Sus scrofa: one gene and its partner. The protein of the gene in region 1 purifies or fractionates together with the protein of each later gene. This does not show direct contact. Links are inferred from orthologs where the notes say so. Each region holds a gene or a part of one and is shown on either strand. Other genes may lie near its edges.

Region 1 (3,653 bases):
GCTCTCTGGGAGTTGTCTTCTGCCTGATAACTAGAAGGGCAACCTGAGTCAGAACAGGTTCACGTTGTACTTTAGCATGTGATAGCTAGTCTGGGGAACAATGAATCATTTTAGAGTTTTAAAAGGAAGTCAAGAAAGAAATAGTTCTTATTACTTTTCCTGACATTTTCAGCAACCAGATCAAGGTTAGAATTATCTGCAGTTTTACAGATGAGTAAACTGAGGCCCCAAGGAGTTAACTGAACTTTCCAAGGTCACAAGGAAGTGGCTATGATTTCAACTTGGTGCTGTCTGACTCCAAGGGCAATTGCCCCTGCCACCACCCTGCTTTTGCAAAACTCCTCTGGTGCTCCAGAAACATGGATATTATGTAGGACCAAGTACATAATTGGTGGGTTCCAGTGCAAAATGAAACCATGGACCCTCTTGTTAGAAAATTGTTAAGAATCGAAGAAGACAGCACCAGAGCATTAAACCAAGTGTGGGGCCCAGTGTGACTCCACAGATCATCTACCCATGAAGCCAGCTCTGATGTTATGTGTTAATCTGTACAGGCCACATATCAAACATTCTGAGCAAATAAAGTTGCTCAGAGGCACTCGGGTGGGGAGGTAGGAGCCCCAGATCTAAGCATGGAGATTTCTAAAGTATAGTAATAACTCTGTGAATAAGTTCCTATTACTCCTTTTGACTTCGAGCATGTTATTTAACTTCTTGGAGGTTCAGTTTACTTCCTATAAAATTGAGGGAGAAGTGGGGAAGTGGTGGACCATGTCAGTATTTCTCAAACTTTATATTTATTTAGATTTATATACTGTATTTTTAGTAGGGTGACTATGATCATGGACTCTGGACCCACACCACCAGTTCTAATTTGGCTTTGCAAATTCTAACTATCTGACCTCAGTCAAGTGCCTCAGTTTCCTTATCTGTAAAATGGAGGTGGTTGTGAGGATTAACTAAGTTAATATAAATAGAGCCCCTGGAATGATGACTGAAATGTGACAAATGTTGTATGTGTTAATTATTACTTTGAATCATATGGCACATGTATTAGTACTAATGTATTTCCTTAATTTGACTCACTTTTAAAATTTAAAAATAATCAGATTCATGTGAATAAGTGAAAGTAAATAATAACTATATAATATTAAATAATTCATTCATATACTTGCTAAAATCAGTCCAAATATTAGCAGTGGAATGGTCACTACACTCTGGGGAACATTGTATTAGATGTTGAAGGCTTCTTCTGGCTTGAATAACCCAGGAAAAAATGAGTAAATTCACGTGTATTTGCGTCTATGCCTTCATTCAATTGAGAAATACGTGACTCTAATATTTCTACTGACTTCAGTCATTTCTATTGATGGTAGCATTTGTTCATTGCTTAGCTTCTTGTTCCAGTAGAAAAATGTTTAAACAGAAAAGAGATATTTGTGAATAAATCACATAAATGCTTAGAATTTTTATAAGTCAGTGGGGTCCTCTCAAGAGATCCCTGAAGTCTAACAAAGGATGAGGCTTCGGGTAGTGAGAAATGGGTACACAGTGCTTCCAGGAAGGCAGAGGCTGGCCTCAGAGGTGAGGAATCTGCTGGGAGACATATGCCCTTTCCTTTGAGTACTGTTTTCCCCTGCTTCCCACTATCTGAATCCTGTCTTACAGGCCCAGTTCAGATGCTGCCTTCTCAAAGTCCTTTCCAGCTATTCTGATCGGAAGTTTCTTTTTTTCTCATCTGGAGTGCTTTATAATCATAGGGCGGTATTTATTAAGCACAGACTGTGTTCTGGGTACAGAAGGCACCAAGTTGAACCCATATCCCTGACCTGGAGGAGTGGATGGGCTACAACTCAGTGAGTCTCTATGATGCCTTCCCCATGTATCTGTCTTTCCCCTCCTTAAGATGGGGTTACTTATTCTTTACTTTCCTATTCCTTAAAGCACTCTAAGGATCCTTCTTAGCTAAGTATTTGTTGCCAGAGACCCCAGGGTTACCAAGTTGTATAGGAAATAGAAAAATAGTAACTTTAAAATTAGTTTTCACTTAAACATCCCTCTCAAGGTGTCATGAGCACCAATCACCAGCCATTTCATAAACATCAGTGACAGTCATAGAGGATAAATATTTAATGTGAATATAATATAAATTGGTCCTAAAGGAAAACTAGAAATCTTGGGAAAGATACAGGACATCCTGAAGCAATGAAAGTGAGTTTAGAGAGAGAAGTGGTACTTCACTCAAAGCTGTGGACATCAAGGACCTGACAGAGTCCTATTAGTTGTTGACAGAACAAGAGAAAATCAATGGGATGATGTGTGATGGGTACTTCCCAAGAGAATGATTGGAATATTAAAGGGTTAAGAAAGACCTTGGGAAAGAATGAAAAACTCTTGAATATTTTACAAAAGTCATTAAATAGTGAGGGCTGTTAAATTGTGTCATGATACACTTTTGTCTAAAAAATTGTGCCAAAAACCTATGCTTAATTTATACTTTGCTTCTTTAAAAATATGGCATGATTGCTATTTTAATTTTGTCAAATATAAGATAAATAAAATTTTTAATAATTTTTTAGTTTCATAATTTTTAGTTTTTAAGAATTCCACTCAACCTTTCCCACCCTTGCTTTTATATGTAATTTTTGTCATTTTAAAAATGTGGATTCATTTTAAATGGACTTTCTATGGTACTAATTATCCACAAGAACGTCCAGTAATAGTATTCAATGAAGTGAGGGACTGATCAGTATCATTCTTCAGAATCACCAACCAAGATCTTAACAGGCAGAATGGGCACAGTTGGCTCTTTTGACCCTAAAGCAGAAAGCAAGAATCCACAGAAACAACCAGCCAGATTTCTCTTGGATTGGGGATGCTGAGTCCAGCTAGGAAGTAGTTTTGGGATAATCCTGGACAAGGCCTTAATAAGGGACCTCCCAAGGCTCCAAAGGAAGTTGCTTACCCACAAAGCACCAGACCGCAAACCGGATCCAGGTGATGGTGGAGAGCTTTAGCATGAGATAGATGTTCACCAGCATGGCAAAGGCAGGCACAAAGGGGAGGCAGGGAGCCATATAGGGCAGCTTCTTGGGGTTCTCTGGCTGCTGTAGGATCACAAATACCAGGGCACTGATCAGCAGCACCATTAGAATGACCAGAAGGATGGCCCACCAGCTCTGCTCCGAAATGTAGTCGGAACCAAAGATAATGAAGGAGCAGAAGATGAACATGAGGATGAAGAGCAGGAGCACACAGATGGTCACCGTGTGCCCTGTAGCTGCTGTGGGCCGATCCATCTTGCCTGGAAGGCCCAGCCGGATCCTCATGGTGTAGTAACGGGGCCCAATCAGCTTCTTTAACTTGATGAGATAAATGTTTTCAGATTCATCAGCTTCTATGCCTGTGGTCATGTCCACGGTGCCATAGTTTGGGTGGTTGACATTGTAGGTTGACTTGTCTGATTTCCCTATGAGCATCTCATTGTCACCCAAGGATGGTAAGTTCTTGGCCCCACATGTGTTGGTGGCTGGGCCGGAAAACTCTTCCCCTTCACTCACAGGAGAACAAACTTCCTTTTCACAGTCAGCCAGAATCCCCTCCTTCTTCTTTGTGTGCTCCTCAGACAAGAACTTGACAAACCCATCAATGTC
Region 2 (3,653 bases), on another chromosome or scaffold:
AAATGAATCTGACTAGCATCCATGAGGACACAGGTTTGATCCCTGGCCCTGCTCAGTGGGTTAGGGATCCAGCACCACTGTGAGCTGTGGTGTAGGTTGCAGACATGGCTCGGATCCCGTGTTGCTGTGGCTGTGGTGCAGGCCTGCAGCTGTAGCTCAAATTTGACCCCAAGCCTGGGAACCTCCATATGCCCCATGTGTGGCCCTAAAAAGACCAAAAAAAAAAAAAAAAAAAAAGACAAAACCAAAAAGTGAGAGTAGCTATCCTTGTCCTTGATCACAGGGGAAAGTCCTAAATCTTTCACAGTTACGTTTGATGTTAGCTGTGCAGGCATACCTCATTTTAGTGTGCTTCTTGGATTTTTTTTTTTTTTTTTTTTTTTGAACACGTTGAAGGCTTGTGGCAGCCCTATGCTGAGGAAGTGTATTGGCTCCATTTTTCCAACAGCGTTTGCTCGTGTCATGTCTCTGTGTCACATTTTGGCAATTCTTTTTTTTTTAATTTTTAAATTTATTTCCTTTTTAGGGCTGTATTTGCAGCATGTGGAAGTTCCCAGGCTAGGGTTCGAATTGGAGCTCTAGCCACCAGCCTACACCAGAGCCACAGCAACACGGGATCCTAGCCGCGTCTGCGACCTACACCACAGCTCATGGCAACGCCAGATCCTTAACCCACTGAGCAAGGCCAGGGATCAAACCTGCAACCTCATGGTTCCTAGTCGGATTCGTTAACCACTGCGCCACAACGGGAACTCCAAAAACACCAGTTTTATGTGCACTAGGAATTCAAACAATTTGTGCGACTTGCTTTATGCAGTATTCATTTTATCGGGATGGTTTGGAACTAAACCTGCAATGTTGTTAAGGTATGCCGATATATTTTTCTTTTTCTTTTTTTTTTTTTTTTTTTTTTTAGGGCCGCACCCGCAGCATATGGAATTCCTAGGCTAGGGGTCAAATCAGAGCTGCAGCTGCCAGCTTACACCACACTCATGGCAATACCACGGATCCAAGCCACATCTGTGGTCTATGCCACAGCTCACAGCAGTTCTGGATTCTTAACTCACTGAGTGAGGCCAGGTCTCAAACCTGCATCCTCATGGATACTAGTTGGGTTTGTTTTTGCTGAACCACAAGGGGAAGTCCTTCGGCGGGGAATTTTAAATTATGACTTCAATCTCTTGTTATACAAGTTTTCTCAGATTTTCTACTTCTTGAATCAGTTTTGTCTTCCTGGGAACTTGTCTGTTTCAGCTAAGTTATCAAACTTGTTGGCAAACAGTTGTCAGTATTTGCTTGTAATAAGACTTGTTTATGTAAGATTGGTAGTGTTATCCCCTTTCATGTTTTTATTTCAGTAATTTCAGTCTTTTTTTTTTTTTTTTTTTTTTTTGTCTTTTTGCTGTTTCTTTGGGCCGCTCCCGCGGCATATGGAGGTTCCCAGCCTAGGGGTCAAATTGGAGCTGTAGCCCCTGGCCTATGCCAGAGCCATAGCAACGCAGGATCTGAGCCGCGTCTGCAACCTACACCACAGCTCACGGCAATGCCAGATCGTTAACCCACTGAGCAAGGGCAGGGACTGAACCCGCAACCTCATGATTCCTAGTCAGATTCATTAACCACTGCACCACGACAGGAACTCCAATTTCAGTCTTTTTATTCTCAGTTAATCTAGCTAAAGCTTTGTCAGTTTTGTTGAGCTTTTAAAGAACTAACTTCCGGTTTCATTGATTTTCTTTATTGGTTTTCTCTTCCATTTGTCATCCATTCCTGCTCTAATCTAGAGTATGTCTTTCCTGGCTTTAGGTTTAGTATGCTTTTCATTTTCAAGTATCTTGAAGTGGAAGATTAGGTTGTTGTCCAGAGATCAGTCTCTTTTCTTGATAATAGGGCTGTGAATTTCCCTCTGAGTACTGCTTTAGCTGCCTTCCGTAAGTTTGGTGTATGGTGTTTTCATTTTAATTTTTGCTTTTTTTTTTTTTTCAGGGCTGCACATGTGGCATATGGAAGTTCCCAGGCTAGGGATACCATAGCTACGCCATAGCTATAGCAACACCAGATCCAAGCTGCATCTGTGACCTGCAGCACAGCTCACGGCAACGCTGGATCTTTAATCCACTGAGCAGGGCCAGTGATCAGACCTGCATTCTCATGGATACTAGTTGGGTTCATTACCACTGAGCCACAACGGGAACTCCCAGGTTAATCCCAAGGTATTTTTCTAATGTTCCTTGTGATTTCTTCGGCCCGTTCGTTATTTAGGAGCATGGTGTGTAATATCCACATATTTGTAAATTTCTCCAATTTCATTTTGTTACTGATGTATAATTTCATTCCATTATGACACTGTATGATAACAGTCTATGTGCCCTTAACAAGAGTGTGTGTTTTGCTCTTGTTGGGCTGGCTGCTCTGTAGAGGTGGTTTGGGTGGTTTGTCCTCTTGTTCAAGTCTTCTTTTTCCTTGTTGATCTTCTGGCTGCTTGTTAATATGGGTGATCTGGACTTTAGATTGTCTGCTTTATGCCAGCTGGTCAGGGATGATGGGGGCAGAGCCAGGCATTGCTCAGGGTCTTGGTGCTCTTGTTTGCCAGAAGGACAGAGTGGTCCATTGCATTGCTCAGGGTCATGGGAGGTTTCTGGTCACAAAGACCCTGCCCTGGGCGCCTGTGCTTCTGTTTCAGCTCCCAGCTCCCAACCAGCCCCAGCCCAGACCGCAGGAAGCAGACCTACCCCAGGCAGGGGTGTCCCAAGCGAGAGGACGTGCGCCCGGCAACGGTGAGCCCCGGACGCCAGCGCCCAGTGCTGAGGCGGTTTTGGATTTGAAGAGACAAGGTGAGAAAGGTGAGTGAGGCTTGGCCGTGACTCATTTCAGCCCCCATCAGGGCCCTGTGGCCACACAACCATAGCAGCAGATCATGTCCTTCGTTCCGTATAGACACACAGGGCAGAGTTGCTGCTGGCGGCTGACTGTGAGCTCAGTAATGGGCGGGAGGGGGGCAGGTGAATGTCTTTCTGGGCATCTGAACTTGGGCCTTGGGGCCCTTCCCCTGCCTTACTGCTGTCTCACGCTTGTTATTTGGCAGCTCTGTACATGGAGGTCTGGCTTTGGCTTTGCTCAGGATGCTGGTGGGTCTGTGGGATGCAGGGAAGTGGCTGAGTCCTGAGCAGCTGGCCCTGGCTCCCGGCGCTTATCTCAGTCAGATGGGATCATCCAACAGCCTCAGTGGCTCAGCCTCCTCTGCTTGTAGCTGGTTGCTGTTATTGAGATAACTTAGTTTGGCCTTTTTTTCTAAATCATTCCCTCTTCCTCGTGCTTCTGAAGATGAGCTGCAGGCATAGAGAAGCTGGGAGTCTGCTGAGGTCACGAAGTAAATTATCCAGTCACGCCATCCGTCCACTGCCCTTGGGAAGGCTCTGGGGATTGAGGGGTACGAGGGCTTCTGGGTGGTTTTACTTAAATTAATTGCTCGTGAGGTGGCTGCTAACTCTCTTCTGTGCACAGAGGAAACCAAGGAGATTCAGGTTGCCAGCGAGGAGGAGGAGGCGGCGGCAGCGCAGAGGGATGCCCTGGGGCAGCCGCAGGATCCAGGCCAAGAGCAGGCCGGGGCCGAGGCCAGAGACGTGGGTGGAGAACCCGGAGAAGTTGGCCGG

What was found.
Region 2: the proteins of SLC7A14 (region 1) and GOLM1 purify together in Homo sapiens (co-immunoprecipitation; 3 studies listed by BioGRID and IntAct, with this or other methods). This does not show direct contact. The link is inferred for Sus scrofa from reciprocal best matches to the Homo sapiens genes SLC7A14 and GOLM1.

The regions. Positions count from the first base shown.
Region 1 is NC_010455.5:109,123,407-109,127,059, forward strand, and holds part of SLC7A14 (probable cationic amino acid transporter), read right to left. Parts: coding exon 2,966-3,653; intron 1-2,965. UniProt on the Homo sapiens protein: Imports 4-aminobutanoate (GABA) into lysosomes. May act as a GABA sensor that regulates mTORC2-dependent INS signaling and gluconeogenesis. The transport mechanism and substrate selectivity remain to be elucidated.
Region 2 is NC_010452.4:29,204,459-29,208,111, forward strand, and holds part of GOLM1 (Golgi membrane protein 1), read left to right. Parts: intron 1-2,683; coding exon 2,684-2,843; intron 2,844-3,504; coding exon 3,505-3,653.